Linked DNA regions of Drosophila melanogaster. Changing the gene in region 2 together with the main gene of any one other region gives a genetic interaction. Each region holds a gene or a part of one and is shown on either strand. Other genes may lie near its edges.

Region 1 (6,152 bases), on a different chromosome or scaffold from region 2:
CGCTGTACTTACCTCCTTGGAATGCTCCAGGAGCCAGGTCTTGGCGGAGGTGGCGTTCGTAATGGTCTCCTGGGTGGTGAAAGTTTTTGAGGCGACAATGAAGAGGGTGGTCTCGTAGTTGACCTTCTTGAGGACCTCGGCCAGATGAGTGCCATCGATGTTCGACACAAAGTGGGAGTGAAGGCCCTTGCCGTAGGGCTTCAGCGCTTCGGTGACCATCAGCGGGCCCAGATCGGAGCCACCGATGCCGATGTTGACCACGTCGGTGATCTGTTTGCCGGTGCAGCCGCGCCACACGCCGGAGATGACCATGTTGGTGAACTCCTTCATGTGGGCCAGTTCGGCGCGCACATCGGGCATCACGTCCTTGTCGTCCACCAGGACGGGATCCGTGCCGCGGTTGCGCAGGGCCGTGTGGAGGACGGCGCGGTTCTCCGTGATGTTAATGTGCTGGCCGGAGAACATGGCGTCCCGCGCGGCGTTAACGCGGCGCACCTTGGCCAGGGTGAGGAGCAGATCCCAGACCTCGTCATTGATACGGTTCTTCGAGTAGTCCAGCAGTATCTCGCCATCGTTCTGGGTGTGCAGGCGCAGGCTGATAAACAAACGAAAAACATTTGACCTCAGAGCAAGTACGATTCGGAGGTCGTTGCTGTGACCTTACGCAAGGACAAATCGAGTGGCGGCGACACTCGACAGCCGATGGTGAAAGTGAAAGTGGGCAAAGCGCAACTCGATGAATAAACGATTGCCGATGGGGGATACACGAATGAGTGTATGTATGCGGGAACTAGATACGTAACTTCCACCCTCTGAGGCGAAATCGACACAAAAACCCACCTGTATTTTGAGAATCTCTTGGAATCCTTCACGAACAGGTCCTTGATGTTCAGGTCCTTGCCCTTGGAGTCGTAGTACTCCTGCAGCTTCTGGAACGCTGCCTCCTGGTTGAGCGGAGGAAGTGGGCCGGCCATCTTACTTCAGTTATCCCAAGCAGGAACAGCAGGCGGATGCGGAGTAGAAGGGCAAGGGAGGACTATTTAGCACTCGATGCAAATTAGTAGCACACGGAGAAGAGAGCACAGGCGAACTGCTTCGACCGCTCGCGACACTTCACTTATAATAGCGGATCCGGCTGCTTAGGCGTCGGGTAGTTCCTATTATCTGGCTCCGGCAAATCTCCAGAGCACCGCACCACAACTTCGCCGTGTTTGCTTTTGATAGGTACTGACTGAGCGGCTGCCGATTTTCCAACGTCCTTTCTGGAATTCGCGAGCACCTTTCAATGTCAAATGAAAAACAAGCGAGTGTTGCCACGTCGGCCGCGCTCTTGTTTTAATGTGCCGATCGGTTTGCAGTGTGTGCGAATTTACTGTGTGTGGCCGCGTGGAGATGAACTGAGAACTTCCTACTCCTAGATCGTCTGCACCGGTAGGCAAAAGGACATAAACTGAAATTTTCAAAACGACTTAACCGCCGCTAACGGCATAATTTTATCTCGATGTGGCAGCACGCTCGGTGTTCAGGGCTGTCAGGTGTCAATGACTATCGAATAGCATTTCTATTATTTAATGTCAAAAATGTAAAAATAAAAACATTCTTAAAATTACTTTAAAGTTACCCGTTAAATTAGCACATATAAATTGAAAAATATTTGTTATCTGTAATTAGCTTCTCACAAAATATTTTTTGTTAAGTTCTCTGCAATCTTATAATTCTCAAGCACTTAATTATTATCACGCATTAGAAAATTAAAACTACCGGAGTCATTGTTATTAGAATTACTTTAGCAAACATTGTTGCTAAAGTTATAAGCGTGCAATAATTATTTTTAAAAAATAATACATTTCGGAAAGTAAAATATATGTGAATTGAGTTGTGACGACAGAGCTATGGTTGCGAGCCTGGCTATGTATATAGCTAACGCCAAATACCAAGATCCGTTTGGCAACGCTGCGCAAGTAGGGTTACCAGGTAGCTGAAACTCGCTAAAAGATGGCGACGCGCACTTAATTTTTGTTTTTTCCCACATAATAAAGTGTAATAAAACCAAAATAAAAGCAGTGCCAGAGAAACAATCGGAGGCGCTTAAAAAGTGAGAAACAGCACACGACCCAATCGACTGGCCCGGGCACGAAGCGAAACGCGAGTGCAGTGAAACTCACATAAACATTGACATGTCGCTGGCCCGAAGAGTGCAACAAGTGTGTGAAAATCGAATTGTGGCCGTTTAAAATGTTTGGAGGAGCAGTCAGAGCACCTGGCGGCAGCTAGAGCGCCCTCGTCGCCCCCAAGAAATCATAGTGTGTCTCAGGAAGCCGAGAGAATCGCCCCACGAAGCCAGGCAGCAGCGTCTGCACACGTAACCTTGTGTGCGCGTAGCACGGAAGCTGTTTGTCGGAATCGGGTTTGTAGGTATGTGGCTGCGAGCCGCCGCTTAGATTCGCTGCTCACCGGGCATTTCGCTTGCAGACCATTTGCAGGACGTCGGGTACGTCAGCGCGGAGGATGGACACCTCATCCGCAGCAGGATCTGGAGCCGGAACGGGCGATGTGTGCCCATGCTCCACGGTAGCAACCTCCACGACCTCCGCATCAAACGAACAGCCGCAGACCAAGCGCCAGAAGATCGAGCAGCAAATCAAGGTGGGCTCCAAGGCGCTGCCACCCCAGCCGCCCCATCCGCCGGATATACTGGACCTGGACGCCAACAGCAACAGCCACCTGTGCTCCTCGCTCTCCTCGTCCTCTTCGCACTCGCTGTCAACGCCAAGCACCGCCAACAACTCCCCCACCACCACGCCCTGTAGTTCCCGGGCGGCGTCGTACGCCCAGCTGCTGCACAACATCTTGCCACAAAACGGGGACACAGACCTGCACAGCCAGCCTGAATCCGCCCATGACGAAGTGGACAGGGCGGCCAAATTGCCCAACCTGCTAACCCTCGACACGACCAACGGCAATGGCAGTCATGCTAGCAGCAGGAGCAATTGCTTGCAAGCAACAACAGCCACGTCCATCGACGATATGCTGGAGTTCGAGCAGTCCCTGACCCGCCAGTGCCTGTGCGGCGTCTCGGAGCGAACGCTGCGCAAGCCCTTCCAGTCGCATTACTCACAGGACACCAACGGCCAGAAACGGATAGCCTACCTGCGGGAGTGGCCCACCAACAAGCTGCTGCAGTTTCTGTCGAATCTGCAGCTACTGTTCGATATCTACCTGAAGCAGAACGCAAAGGGCTTCATCTGCACGCGGATAATGGACGTTTGCGACGCACTCATTCGCAATGACCACAAGCTTATCGACGAGATTATCGTGCTGGCCGGCTACGAGAACTCTTACGTGCAATTTCTGGCGGGACGTGTGCTAGCCGCATTCCTGGTGATTGCCAAGCAAGAGCTGAATGACGAGTGGCTGCAGAAGATCGTCGACCAGCTATTTAACTTCGAGCAGCTTGACCAGGCGGCCGTGCAGAAGATCCACTTCAGCCTGGACATCATCAAGCGCATAGTGGAGTGGAAGGATATGGAGATCCATCCGCTGGACGACGACTGGATGGCGTCGGCGAATAGTACAAGTGCAGCCTCGTCAGTAGTGCCCCTTTCGACAGAGGCGTCCGTGAGCTACATGCATTTTCCCGTGCAGGAGCAGCCGCTAGCCACCAATTATTTTGCACTGCAATTTCGCGAGGATACGGAAGGTGAACGAGAGACGGGGCAGGAAGCACCTGACAACCGCGACCGACATCGGCGGCACTTTGGCGAGGATATGAACGTCGCCTACGAGCCGCACCCCGCTCCCCAGTCCACGACCATGCCCAGCGGTTGCCATGTGGTCACACTAACCGACTCGGAAAGCTTCGATACGACGCACCTGAAGTGCATCACCATTCAAAAGCTGGAGCACAAGTGGCCCACGCTGGTGAAGAACATGTCGGAGTTGATGGCGCCGACGCATCAGGATGCGGCCGAGCACTGTGTGCTCAACTTCTTGCAGCTATGGGAAAACATCATCTCGGTGAAGGCCAATCTGTCCATCGACGAGACGCGACCCTACTACGCCCAGCTGGACAAGTTTGAGCTGCTGCTCAGCCACAGCCTCTCCTGCACCGTGTACAAGCAGATGCTGTGCCTCTTCAACGAGGCATTGTGCTATGGTTCCACGCTGGCGCTGCAGGACATGCTGCCCGAGGAGACGTGCAAGCTGGCTCACCAGATAGTCTGCCATGTGCGCGGCTTCCGCATACTGGAGTCGTTGCCGCGGCGACAGCCGGACAACATGGTCAGTCTGATCGGCTACAATGGCAAGCCGATGGTGTACGCCAATGGAACAATTACCCTGGCACATGCCGCGCAATCAGGGGACAGCGAAGAGGACGGTGCGCCACTGGACCTTATCGAAATGGATAAGACACTGTTGCAGAAGATGGTGCTGTTGGTGCTGAAGTCGATAGCGGTGACGGTGAAGGAGATACGCAGCGATTCCTCCGACTCATCCATCGATTCCACCGACTACGATGCCTTCCAGGACATGATGCTCATTGAGCGCTCGATCCGCGATGTACTCAGCAAGCTGGAGACGTTCATAAAGCAGACGCTGGAATTCCATCCGGAGTGCCACTTCAGCAAGATCCTGATCCACCTGTTCGACGACCAGGACGACCACTTGATCGAGGCCATGGTCTGCACGCTGGACGTCACGTCTGGGATATCGTTCCGCAACAACGCCTTCCCCGAGCTGGTGGCCATGCTGAATCCGGTGTACACATTCCTGGAGTTCCTCAAGATGACATCGAACAGCTCGGACCTGCTGCTGGACCTGCTGGTGAGCAACGAGACCTGCTTCCTGCTCTACCTGCTGCGCCTGCTCAAGTACATCCGCATGAACTGGACGATGTTCGTGCACAGCTGTCACACCTTCGGCATGGGCAGCGCCATGCTAGACGAGGCGATGGGCGTTCTTATCCGGCTGCGCCTGCAGATATCCCGCCTCGTGTCGCGCCAGCTCTACCCCTACGACATTTCCCCCGTGCTGCGCCTGCTCGAGAGCTGCGAGAGCCTGTACGAGGGCAACGAGCTGAGCTGAATGCGGCGCAGGGACGAACTTCAACCACATGCAATTAAAATACGTAATTTATTTTAATATTTAATGGAATAGGAGAAACTAGCGCAAAATTCGATGAAGATGGAGGCCTTGTAGAATACGTGTATTAGCCGTAGGGACCAACCACTCCGACCATAACTCCGCACCCCGATCCAGTAGCGCGTCAACCGTAGTTAAGATCTTGCACCCTCTTCATCCGCTTCGCCCAGCAGGTCTTTCAACCCAGATACATACCCAGCTGTATGTAATTGTCATTGTAATTGTAATGAGCATCACAAGTTCGTAGTTAGTTCGTAGATAATGGTTATATCATAGGTACTGAATTCCAAACTAAACACTACGCTAGCCTAAGATTTTTTTAATCTTGCCCTAAGTAGAATAATGTACAATAGGATGGCAAAATGCTGCGGCAAACGGCTGCCCGCCGAAGTGGGCGTAAATTCGGTGTCTTCGAGAAGAATATTCTTTGTACGTTTTTTTAAAACACTTGAATAATATAACATAATTAACTGATTAAAAGAAACGCATTAAGAAGGACTACAACGTGTGCGGTTTCTGTTTCCGAATGGTGTGTTAAAATACTGTAGTCTCTTTGCAATTTCGTTGGGCTGTGTCCTGATCTCATCTGGACTTCTGGACTTCAATGGCGATTTATCATGCGGACGCGCCGCTTTGGATCAGCGGCTCCACTTGGCATACCACTGACTTCTGGTGGTGGCCCAGTGAGGCTTATCACCGAGCCGCGCCTGGCCATTTCCGGAGGATGTGGACTCGATACGTGCACCGTTTGATAGTTAATGCTGATCGGAACCGAGGAGCGACGGTTAAGACGAGGCTCTAGAGAAGAAAGTAGTTGGTCTTATGGGACGTGTCACTTTGTTGTGGGGACTCTTTACCGAAACGGGCTTCTCCGGATCCCGGCTTATGCGGATGCTGCTGACTGGGTCGGCTGGCCAAAGGAGATACCACCCTGTAGTGATACTCCTGAACCAGCGGAACGGACCTGGTGAAGCCTCCCTCATCGTTTAGCGTGTACTTGAAGCGATCCA
Region 2 (7,923 bases):
CTTCTGTTAAGTGTGTATCTTTTAAGTTTTTGTTGCTTTAGCTTTACGAGTAGTTTTGTTAAGTGTTTTCCTTGGTTTAAGAGTTAATTTAATTCGAAAGCGACTTCAACTATGGGGTAAACATGCACACACTCATTGAAATTTTTGCAACTTACAATTAACCATTTGCTAAAATCGAATCCGAGTTCATATTATACAAATATTGAATATCTCTGCGTGTACGCAATATACATATACATATATCTGATGTAATTTAGTTATCGAGTGCTCGCTTCGGCCGGAAATCAGCGCAATGTCTTAGTTTATATACAGGAACTTAGAAGGTATCAAAGGACACGACACGACGAACATTATACGACAAAATTTATCCTAGACTGCGGAGTGTGTCTTCTTGTTTGCGGAGCTGTGAGGGGTCCGAAAATTGTTAAACAATTTCAATTTGTGTTTCAAGAACATTTATCTGGGTCTAAAATGTGTTCTGCTGCTCAGCCTAACTCAGCCGCCTTGTGGCCGCTCTTAATTGGATAGGTATGGTAAAATCTACTACTCGAACGCGTGTATTCATAATTTATGCGGGGTTATATTCACTGACGTTTAAGTATATTCATATTCATAATTTATAGTTCGGAAAATTCATAGTGCTCGCCTAGGCTAATGAGAGCGTTGAGAGAAATACGTACATACATATATTTTCGTACAGTTGCGAATTTCAAGTGCATCTGCTACTGCTGCTGCTTACTCTTCATCTTACTCGTATCTATATTCAACTACCGAACTAAGCTGCATTATCGTGTTGGGGCTTGGATCTCTGGGATCCGTAGAACTGACTTAATAATAAACTGCATTTGCATCAACGTCGGTTGGTCACACATCAGCGACGCCTGCGCACTTCTGGGCAGTTGCTCATCCACATCCTTGCTCCTCATTGTGGTCACATATTCCTATCCCGCATGCTAGAGATCTCTGGTTTTTGTACATTTAACCGACTGAACTCGGCCTGGCTGGAATCGCCCTTCCAATCGCTGGACTAGCATGGAAAGTCCATGGCCAGCTCGTTCTTGATTAGATGATGGTGATTCGGATCGGACATGGGGTTGGGATTCGAGCTGGGGTTACCCGAACTCGGATTGGCTAACTGCTAGTAGGTGGCAAAGCCCATGGCGCCAGCGCTGCTGTTGTCCAAGGGTCACTGGTGCATCTTGGCGGCATGGTGACCCATGTTCAGGCTAAGGTTCAGGTGGTGGCCGCTGTGGTGCTGCTGGGTCGCCTGCGCGTGGTTGTGGTTGCTGCTCGAATTGTTGTTGTTGTTCTGCTGATTGGCCTGGCGCTGTGAGTTCTTCTTGTTCTTCATGCGCCGATTCTGGAACCATATCTTGACCTGAAAGGAACGCCTGTTTAATGAATTCAGTTCAAGTCAGTAGGTTTATGGACTCACCTGTCGCTCGGTCAGCTGCAAATTTCTGGCCAATTCCCAGCGCTTTTGCTTGGAAACATACGCATTGAAAAGAAACTCCTTCTCCAGCTCCAGGGTCTGGAACTTCGAGTACGGCTTGCGCTTTTTCCGGACGGACACCTGACCGGTCCACTCGTGCAGTCCGGGATTGGGCGTGCAAGGACCCACTGCTCCCACGGATAATCCACCAGAGGCTCCTGAAAACATCATCAAGTAATGGGGTTAAACTACATGGTTAACTTCATTAAACCGCAAGTGCGGGTGGTCCGATGGTTTTGTTGCTCGGTGTTCGGTGCAATATCAGATCGTTAAGTTTATAGAGCAATTACGGAAATTGTTTAGCAATAAGCGTAATACGAAATTATTCAATTCCTCATTTATGGCCTCTTAATTGGTGCGGTACGGGGAGCGGAGCTCCGAATTGGCATGAGGCCCATATTCACACTCGAGTGGATAACACTAAATGAATACATTCGTTCCCGCTCATTGGCCGACCAAATGAAGCAATTAAATTAATGTTGAAATAAAGTGACAAGTTGGATTTATTTTAATTTAAACGCTAGTTCAGCACGAGTGAAGAGCTTTTCGAATCTAATCTGATTTCTTCGATTAGTCTTGGTAGCATTGAACAGTTAGGACAGTTAGGTCAGATTGGAAATTAATTATCGAGCCTAAGAGACCTGAATTCCAATTGTAAAATTGGCTGGCGAGGTCACTTAACTGACATATTCCGCCATAATAACGAGTCTTTACTATGGATACCATGGATACTACTGGGAAAATATGACTAGTCGACAGATACAATTCTGGCAGTTGAAAAACACCTGGTGATAAGACACGAACATAAACAGGCAACCCCATAGAATGCAAACCCCAATGACTTTCGCACCCACATAAAGGCGTAACGCTAGCCAAATAGCGAGTATCGATTTATGGGCCGTTTTGCACTACGCTAATTGAACGACAAACTTGACGGTTTCGCAATTTGCTATTTCAACCGATACGACGACGAAAAGTCTAGTGCACATAGGAAAATCAAATAATCTTGAACTTTATATTGTAGGATGCTTAATATTTTAGGGCTGTTTAAATAATTGGCTTGGCTTTTAGGAAAAAAAATAATAGCACCATATAAAAAACACTTCCAAATAATTATCGATTCATTGGAAAATTTGACGGTCTATAAATATATATTTTACAATTAAAAACATTTAGGTGGAATTTGAACGCCTCTTTTTAAACAGAATTTTGAATTCGTATAATTTTTCACTTTAATTTAATTTCATATGAATAACCAAATATTTTATTAAAAATTTTAAGAATTGTAAACAGTAAATTTTTAATTTTTAATCTTTAAAATTTCTCCTCCCAAACTAGAGTTGCAAGATGCTCAAAATTATTTCCAGTGTGCCTAACCTCGTTACCCTTAAGTGTGCCGACTCTGGCCGGTCTGGACTCACCTGAGCTGGAGTAGTTCTCGCTGGGATAGCCGCGCAGGCCGCCTGGCGAGGAGTAGGTGGGCGGCTCATAGCTGGACGTCGATGTGCCCTCGACGGACTGTCGGGCGGCGGCGCTCACGTGGCGCTCCGCTTCGTTCATGTAGGCCGCCGCCGCTGCGGCAGAGGTGGTCTGATCGGGGCGGTAGTTGGGGCCCCAGTACTGCTGCGGGGGAGAAATGAGGTCGGGTTGGAACGAAGTTGCTTACAACTGATGTGGAGGCGTGGGTGGCGCTGTGGCCATACTTACACCAACCGGAAACTGCGTTTCTGGGTAAGGATAGGCGAACATGTGCTTGCGGTCGTAGTACCCGGAGCCGTAATGCTGATTGAATCCCTCGTCGTTGTAGGCCCAGTGTGCCGTGTGCCGCTTGACCGCCGCCGAGGTGTCCGTCTCGAATCCCGGACCGGCCCGGATGGCGGGTATATGCAGTGGCGCTAATTGTATGGACATATTGATGTCTGAAAGTAAACGATAAGCGCAGATTTGCTGCTGTTAATATTGGCACTAGGGCTGGTAAGTCTAATTTTAACGACTGTCTATGATCAAATCGACCTCCTTGATCATTTGGCATTTTATCACTTGGCGTGGCATTTGTGCCTATAACCCTTAGATTGTTTGTCGATGTCATGGATGTGGGTGCATTCACACCTCGTCTATATATAAATCTGTATATTTAACACGTGTCAACACTTAAGGTAATAAAATGGTTACCATAACGATTACGTTTCAAATCATCGTTTAATTTTTTTTTTTGTGTAAACTCTTTAAAAAAAAACCAATGCAGTTTTGAAGAACTTCAGTACACTCACAAACAATATTTTTAAAAATTTTTAATTTCCTTACAAAATTAAAGTTGTTACCACCCTGCAATTATATAGTCTATAATGATAAAACAGACGCAAATATTTTGAGTAAATAAATTAAATGCGTGACGATTCCTGGGAGAGTTAAAGAAAAGCCTTATCAGCCTTGAAAAACGTGCTGCAATCAGCACAACTGAAACGTTATTGCAACTGGGGGGAAAAAAAAACAAGTGGAACGACCCCGTTCCCAATTTAACGTCCCCAATTTATTTCGAGAGTTTTCCAGTTCAGATGTAGAAAATTTCAAAAAATATATTTCCCAACGATCTTTGAAAGCCCATAACCAATGGAGTTCCAATAAGAAATCCGCTGGTTTTCAACCCCAAGGAAAGTTATATTTCTGGGACCTCACCTTCCTTCTGAGAACTAACACTGGAGGGAGAAACACTCGCCGTGGTCGGCGCAACGATCTGCGTCTGGCCAGGAGCAACTGCAGCATTCTGCTGTTGCTGCTGCTGCTGGAGATTCGAGGAGGCGCCGCTGGCGACACTGTTCGGGGTTTGTTGCTGCGGCAGTTGCTGGTGGTGGGGCGATGTGAGATGTTGCTGTTGTTGGGCGGAGGGTCCAGTGGGTGTTTGGGCAGGACTGAGGGCGCCGGCCACCGGTGTTGTCGCCAGCTGTTGTTGCTGCTGTTGCTGCTGCTGTTGAAGTTGCTGCTGCTGCTGCGGAGCGGGGAGGTGTTGCTGCTGTACGGCGACAAGTGGCACAGGCGGAGGATCCTCGTACATAACCGCATGCGTGGGCGTGGAATGTGTGGTGGGAGTTGACTGCTGTTGCTGCTGCTGGAGCACCGAGGAGGGTGAGGAGGCGACGACTGCATGTTGCTGCTGCTGTTGCTGCTGCTGCAGGTGGGGATGCGCGCTGTGGTGATGGCTGGTGGTGTGGAGAGGCTGAGGCAGGTGGTGGTGCGCATGGTGATGCAGTTGCTGCAGATGCTGCTGCTGCTCCTGCAGATGCTGCTGCTCCTGCTGCTGCTGCTGCTGTTGCTGCTGCTGCAGATGGTGCTGCTGCATGACGGGCAGGGAGGGATGCGCCTGGGGATGCGGATGCGGGTGCGGGGCGGTGGGTACGTGGGTGTGGGTGTGTGTGTGATGCCCCCACCACGCCCCGGCAGCGGCGTGCGACCCGACTGCCGAGACATCGTGGGGGTCGTAGAGAGCGCACGCCAGCGGGATGGTTGGGGTTTGGGGGAGGGGTGGAATATTTACGGTTATCTTGGACGCGTTGCACTCGAACTGCGGCGGCGAGGATAAAGGCGGTGCAGTGGGGTCGATCGCCTCGACCCACCGACCTTTCTCTGTCTTTTTTTTCTCACTCCTCTGAGTGACGCCTTTCTAATTGTTTAAGTCTCTTTATATTTTTTTCGCGACTTAATAATTTTTATTTTTAATATTCAGAGCACCTTTACTCGAGTTTTGCCCCTTTTATTTGCGTACCGCACACGCACACAAACGTCCGTCAGCGGTCACACGCACACGCCGACTTACTCACACACGCACACTGCCTAAAGAGCGGGCGAAGAGAGTAACTTTGTTGTTGCACAGGGGATCGAATCAGCTTGAATTTCACAGGGTGCTTGCGGTCGTCAGCAACTCACGCAGTATTTTCAAATTGGCTTTTTTCAGTTTTCATTCGGTCAATCCAATTTTCCAAAACTTTTCCAATTTTTCCTTTGTCAGTTAATGTTTTCTTTTCACTTTTCTTTTTTTTTCGGTTGGCGTTTGTTTTTGATTTTCTTCTCTCTTTTATAATTATCATAAATAGTTTATTATTTGTGGGGCCTGCAGTCGTTGTTGTTGCTGCTGCTGGCGTTCGCTTTTTATGTTGCTGGTCATAAAATTTGATTTTACGACCAAAACAAACAATTAAAGGCAATGTTTGCAACAGTTAACAAAAATGTTATTATTTCTCCTCACAACGCCGGCGACACGATGTTTTGATTGTGTTTTTTGTTTTTTGATTTAATTTTTTATACGACTCCAAAAACGTTTCTTCTTTCAGTTAAATTTTTCGAAAATGTTCAACTTGTATTTTTCGAACCGTTCGAACGAAACACTCCCAGTCGAATGTGAATGTGAATGGACGGCGAGTACGAAATCGTTCAAGTCCCAGTCCTCGACGAAGTTGCAGGGCCGCTTGCCTCGGCTGTTGTTGTAGTTGCTGTTGTTGCTGCTGGACGCCCGCGCGCCTTCCAACCGAACAGAGCGAAGCACAAATCTACACTGACGGCAGCAACGCGCACGGCGACAACATATCCACATCGCTGGCACGGCACACCGACAACACAAGACCAAGACCAGAACCAGAACCAGCACACGAACACAAACTCTAAGCGCAGCGGCGCCAGCCCGCTCCAGTGTGTGTGTGTGTGTGTGTGTGTGTGTGTGTGTGTGTGCCTCCCCGTCCGTGTGACTTGGAAGAGAGCGCGGACATGCGCATGTTGCACAAGCACTCAGATTGATGGTGGTGGTGGTTGATGTTATGTTGATGGCAGTTGGTGCGGCTCTCTTGTGGCGCGTTATGCACACGTACACTGTATACAGCGTCTGTGTGGATCCCAGACTGTCAGCGAGTGTGCGTGTGTAAGTGGGGGGAGCCGAAGAGAGTTTTGGATGTTGCTGGGGGAAATAGCACTGTTTCAACTAGCGCCTTCAATGAGGTAAAGATGGTATCGCACTTCGACTGGGACTGGCTCTGGAATTCGCTGAGCTCAGCAGGTGCTCCAAGTCACAGGGGGTCATCGAGGGCGAAACACACACGCACAGTGTACGTGTGAAGGCATCCGCTCTTCAACGAACAAAAAACGCTCTCAGACTCACCGCCCGCTCTTACTGCCCGATTCTGGGGGCTGATTTGAATACTTAACACGCGCGCACCACAGCGCCATCTATGTCCGAGATTTCGATGGAATGGGGGCGGGGAGGCGTGGTAGATGGCACCACATTGTGTGTAGTTAGTTGGCTTGTTGTTGGCGCTTTTTATCGATTACCACAACAGCAGCAACATACAGAAAAACTCACTGCATAAAGACCATGGATCGCGACCAATTATACGAGTCGTCAAGCGCAGTGACTAATTAATGCTAATTAGTTAAACAAATACATGCGTGCGCCAGTTCAGTCAGCAAATTATGACAGCCCAATTGTTAGGAAACCCCGGGTCTCTTTTCACCCCTATCTCAACATCCTTTCTCCCTTTTGGCTCTTCTACAGATTCCCCTCCTTGTCTCACTTCCAAAGGCAGTTGCCAAATTTTACGCTGCAATGGACAATTATGGGAATTTTATGGCAATTGCCATTGGAAGAAAAGCAAAAGGCACGCAGTCGAGGCCAAGGAAATGTTAACAAATCGTAAAAAGGATGCGATGAGAACAACTCTCAACCCGTTTGACAACAAAATGTATGTACAATCGCATAAAAATCCATACTTAGCAATTACAATAATACATTTGAGCAGGGGCTTAAGAAAATGTCAGAAGTCATCGCGACTGGAGACGAATAATATTATTTCTTATGTGAAATCAGAACATTCATTTTTAATTTTTCACATCACGCATTTAGTTGAAGAGTCCAACTGCTTACATAACAAAGTTGATCAAGTAAACCCCAAAAAAACTTCAAGAATTCTACTTATAATAATACAAAACTTGTAATTAACTGCCGCAATCTATTTCCAAAAATAACTTCTTCGATTGAAATTATTATTCAACTTTTTTATTTATAAATAGAAATAAAGTATGATTGACATTTTTCCTATTGAACCACTCTGCTAACACGCAGAATTATTTTAAAGGGATAAACTCTCTGCACAATAGCATTTTATAATTATTAGTAGCATTTTAACGCCTTAATATTACATATTTAAATACATATCTGGCTTAAACCGGACTAATTATAATTTTAGCTTACCTGTGGGATGGGAACTGACGCTGGAGGGAGAAATGCTCGCCGCTGTCGGCGCAACGAGGTGGTTTTGGCCGGACGCCACCGCTGAGATTTGTTGCTGGGGTGGTGCTTGGTGGGTCTGCACCGCTGCTGAATGGGGATGGATCTACTCCACCGGTTTGCTCACTTCCAGTGACGCGTTCTGCAAAAAAAAAAAGATGCA
Region 3 (4,716 bases), about 10 Mb from region 2:
AACCTTTGCTAGTTCACATGGTCGGAATTCAAAGGGTTCTTGAGGATCTAGATTGGCTGCTATTAAAGGAGGGAGAATAAATGTGTTGGTAGAGGGATTTGGTCGGAATACATTTTGTAAATGGTCAGCGAAAGCACTGGCTCTTTCTTCATCACTTCGAAACCAGGTGCCAGAGGGACTTCGTAGTGGCATAATTGGCGCTATTGGAGTCTTTAGGTTTCTGTGAGCTCGTGATTAATGAGAGTTTCGCATTTCACCAGCCAGTACACGGCAAGAAAAAATGGCCGGGACAAGAGAACCCAATTGATTCCGGTCTAAACTGATATGGAAAAGTGTCTATAAAAATATCTTACTTTTTATTTGATTGATTCAATAGTTTGAGATGGACTGATGAGATTATCGCCTATTCTTCAGAGAATGGTGTTCAAATTGACATGGTCGATCGCTAAATTAAAAACCTTATGCTTCCCCCAGTGTAATGTGCATGTGGACTTACCCTGATTGTTGTTGTTGCTGCTCTTGCGGGATGTCTTCTTCTCCTTCATCCAGGGATACTCCGGCACCGAGTCCATTCCATCCGGCGTTTGAGGGACAACGCCAACCGGATATCCGACTCCGACGCCGACATTGACATTAACGTTGACGCCTACTCCGCCAATGGCGCCGGATCCAACAGGTGTTCCGATTTTGGGACTCTCCGGACTCAAGTGGTTGAGGAATTCAGCCATCGACGGCTGCGAATTGATGAACCCGCCCTCGGATGCTGTCATCCAATAGGCCGTGTCCGCGCTCCGTTTATCACAGTTCGGGGTCATCTTGTTGACCATGAGCACCGACGGCACAGGTGGCACCCCCTGCTGTCCGATACCAGGCTGACCAACACTCACTCCCACGCCACCCACACCACCCACGACGCCCGCACCACCGCAACCACCCACTGGCAGGGACGTCTGTCCAGTTTGCACCTGCAGCGGGTTGAGTGGAGATTCCGATTTGATTTGGGTGCCCATTGAGGTCGTGTCCAAGGAGCTGCAGACTTCTTGCATAGCTTGGGTATAATTTTTTTTAGATTCTTTCTATTTCAATTCCTGAGCGTATTAGATGTTCCTCAGCTTGGGAACCTGGAAAGGAAAGCCATTTTTGTAATCTCATAATAATGTTATCACGATTCAGTTCCCAGGAAGTTAGAGGTTTCACTGTTCTTATCGAATGTGAAATTGAATAATGTATGTATATACTTCATTAAGATATGTTATCATTATCTTCATTAACCTTTTAAGAAACAAAGACATCGTCACTTTACTATGCTATTCAATGTTTATTTTATTATTATATTTATAATTTTTGAATTTTTATTTATATATTTTGAATATATATAATTTCAATATAATGTACGTATATACTTCATTAAGATATGTCATTATCTTCATTAACATTTTAAGAAACAAAAACATCGTCACTTTACTATGCTAATCAATGTTTATTTTATTATTACCGATCCAATTTTTCACATTGCAACTGTCAAAAACTTGACTATTTTTAAATTACATATTCCAATTTATATTTCATTAGTCTCTCAGTTTTCTGTGCCAGAAATTCATTTGTAGTCTGCATTTTTACTATTGCTCTTATAGAAATTGTTAGGCCTTCACTTTAAATTTATGGCCACCTAATTTCGATTGAGATTTGACAATATGTATTGTATGTATGTACAATACATACAACCTGTCCTACAATGTTACCTAAATTGGCTTGGTTCGCATACATTATTTTACATTATTTTTTTAAGGATTAATAGTCAGTAAATAAATTAACATATTTTAAACAGAAAAAGTTATAAAGCTGTTACATATCCTCATCTAAGAAATGCCGCATAGCTAATTTCCTAGGAAGTATAAATGAATAAGAAAATTCGAATATATTTTCCGATTCCGCCAATTAAAGATTTGAAATATTTCTTGCAGTAAACATTTTGCCGACTTAAAAGGCTCGTATTTTAGACTAACATGTTGTATCAAAAACGAAATAACGACACGCTTTGATTTTCTCGTGCTTTAAAAGGATACACTTATTTTTAAATGTAGGTAAGAAATATGTGTAAGATAATTTCGTACCATATTAAGTTGATCATTTACAGACCACAGTATTCCATATTTCTCCTCTTACGTTGACATATGCGTTCTTTGTGGAAATTTCACCGGTATCACTTGGGTCACCGTTTTCACTATTGTCTGCACTCGCTCATAGTAACTGGCTTAACTTTTTGTTTGTTTTTTTTTTTTAGTTTCAACCGGCACAACTTTTGCGATGCGGGTTTTGCGTAAAACTTCAGTGTGTCAGGGCTTATCTGTGGGCCGCGAAAAGAGGCGACAACCGCGACGAGAGCGAGGGAACCCAGATCCGAATGTAAATATGGCCACCGTTGTGTTTGCTCAACCGTCAAGTGGTGTTTGGAGTTGGTTTTTCGCTTTCAGGTTGACATAGACACACACCTTTTGGCAGCCATGGCGACGCGAAAGGCCAACACAACCGACGAAACAACGGCGATAACGACAATAGTGCAAGTACGCGCTGTACAACGGTGCGTATGCGGAATGTGTTGATTTTGTAGAGTTTTGTAGAGTCGCTGCGATCGCTGCAATGGCCACACACAGACACACACTCAGTCGTTGCAATTCGTCTGAGATAGTTTTCTCCACTCGCACTCATACACATGTGGGCACTAGCTGTCCCTCTCTGGCCTTCAAGAGGTGCGCAGAACCGGGTTTCCAGGGGTTCCTAAAGTGCTTCTCAACCGTATAGTAAAACTTTTGGTTTCAACTCGTTTTAATAATATCACTTTTTAGTTTTCAAAATTTTTGAACTATTTTTGTAGCTGTCATTTTAATAAATATTATTTTTTAGATACCGAACCGATTCGTAGCGAGAGCGAGACAGAGGGCTTTTGGGGAGCTTCGTGCGGTTCCCGAGAGCTAGATAGCAGCCAACAACCATTCCATCCAATAGCACCGAACGCACTGAACTGGGATTTTGGGACCCAGTATCAAGGAGTGGCCTAAGCGACAGCCACCGCATCCATCACGCTTTTTCCTGGTCGGCACATGCGCGGTGCCATCTGGAAACTGGTTACTATAGCCATTACGCGCAGAGACCAGGGGGTGGAGTTCACACACACCGGCGCACAAGTCTCCGGCCCTCTGATTGGCCGGCTCGGCAGTTTGTTTTGTATCTTTGCGGTCGTGTAGCTCGGGAACCCCTGTATCTTGGGCCATCATTTCCGCGGCGTTTTCTTGCCTCATTCACTTTTTTCCACTTCCAACGCGAACGTGTTGCTTGTGACGGAATTTATTTGGTTTTTCTTATTTACACATTTCGCATCTGCTAAAAAATGAAAAGAAAAAGCCACAGTAGCGAGTTTCTCGCTCTCCGGCTTTTTTGGCTTTCGGCTATGGGTATTTTTGACATTTTGCTTCGCTCATCGCTCTTTTTGTTTTGGGCGCCTCTTCTCCTGTCAATCTTGGTGGCATTGCTTTTTGCCTTTTGGCCGCTTTTTCGCCCTCTTTTTGCTAACGTTCTCCAATCCAGTCCGCGCAGAGTTTGTAATTATGTGCGGATTTTAATGCACACGGGTGTCACTACAGGTGTAAAAATATTGCCACGATTTTGCACTGCAGCTGGGGGTGGTGTTCGTACTTGGACGCTCTGACGAACAAGTTGTCTGACAGCAGGGAGCTATGTGATCGGCAGTCTACGTAATGACGATGCGCACCATGAGATTGTTTAAAATTGTGAAAAAGATATATGTGTGAAAAATACAGAAACTTTGAGGAAGCATTAAGTAAAATAAAAAGCCAAGGCCATTCATTATAAATATCATATAAATAAATGTTTTAACAAGTCAAGCTTATTTAGTTTCTCAACTGTATCGCCCACTAAAATGGAATTTTGTCTAAAAATATTTGATTTGTCTGGTGGTGAAATTTTTGAAAATCGAGTCCGCAAAATGTATCCCCAAATGCTGCACAACCAGCATTTTTTGTTTGAACAAATAAATGCGCACATTAATTATAAAACATATTTTATTTCATCCAAAATAAGTAATAATAATGTAGTCACAGAAAGATATTGCTCGTATAATACAATGATTATATATGTATGTATGTACAGTTGCCTAAACATATAGTCAAAGATATATTTAAAAGTTCAACAAATTTTGAATAAAGTCATAGTCAACATCCAAAATATCCGACGATGAAGCAGAAGAGCTATTCGAGTCCCAGCAGAAATTCTGTATCATTGGCTGATCCTGTGTATTGTGTTCAATTACATTTTCTGCGATAGGAATCGTTGGCTCAAGGCCCAGCCATGAACTCGCCCAGTTAGCATCGAATTCATTGAAGGGCAGTTGGGGAAGAGCCATGGGCTCAGGAGAAAATTCATGGAGGTAATCGTAGCTCTGATAGGGTGGTGTAATTTGACCCTCCTCCAGGACACCGTGATCAACCTGCCGGAGTGGAGCTGTTTCCACATTTGTGTTGGCATATCGAAGGAGACGCTCTACGATCTGGTCGTCCTTTTGAAGATCTTCGCTCGACTGGGAAGAAAGTGGAATAGATGTGGTCAGCGCTCCAATGGCACCCTTCCTATTGGTCGACTTCTTGAGTTTCATGCGACGATTTTGGAACCAGATCTTAACCTGTCTCTCTGTGAGTGCCA

What was found. Genes that interact genetically often act in the same process or in processes that back each other up.
Region 1: of Abd-B (region 2) and lin, changing one suppresses a phenotype caused by changing the other (phenotypic suppression), as found in Drosophila melanogaster (one study listed by BioGRID).
Region 3: of Abd-B (region 2) and pb, changing one suppresses a phenotype caused by changing the other (phenotypic suppression), as found in Drosophila melanogaster (one study listed by BioGRID).

Annotation. Positions count from the first base shown.
Region 1 is NT_033778.4:8,912,593-8,918,744, forward strand, and holds lin (lines), read left to right. Parts: upstream 1-1,931; 5' UTR 1,932-2,415; intron 2,416-2,472; 5' UTR 2,473-2,508; coding exon 2,509-5,085; 3' UTR 5,086-5,642; downstream 5,643-6,152. Other genes in the region: Pgi (phosphoglucose isomerase), read right to left, coding at 13-595, 841-974; CG34219 (uncharacterized protein), read right to left, coding at 5,744-5,940, 6,000-6,152. UniProt on the Drosophila melanogaster protein: Has a dual role as a segment polarity protein and as a modulator of the Abd-B protein. Required for Abd-B to activate the transcription of genes (including ems, cut and sal) that are involved in posterior spiracle morphogenesis.
Region 2 is NT_033777.3:16,928,203-16,936,125, forward strand, and holds the start of Abd-B (abdominal B), read right to left. Parts: upstream 6,041-7,923; 5' UTR 4,830-6,040; coding exon 4,169-4,829; intron 3,412-4,168; coding exon 3,200-3,411; intron 3,116-3,199; coding exon 2,914-3,115; intron 1,651-2,913; coding exon 1,436-1,650; intron 1,379-1,435; coding exon 1,187-1,378; coding exon of another isoform or gene 1,028-1,186; 3' UTR 1-1,027. UniProt on the Drosophila melanogaster protein: Sequence-specific transcription factor which is part of a developmental regulatory system that provides cells with specific positional identities on the anterior-posterior axis.
Region 3 is NT_033777.3:6,739,054-6,743,769, forward strand, and holds the start of pb (proboscipedia), read right to left. Parts: upstream 3,011-4,716; 5' UTR 2,115-3,010; intron 1,122-2,114; 5' UTR 1,047-1,121; coding exon 497-1,046; intron 1-496. Other genes in the region: zen2 (zerknullt-related), read right to left, coding at 4,196-4,716. UniProt on the Drosophila melanogaster protein: Sequence-specific transcription factor which is part of a developmental regulatory system that provides cells with specific positional identities on the anterior-posterior axis. Controls development of mouthparts, and labial and maxillary palps.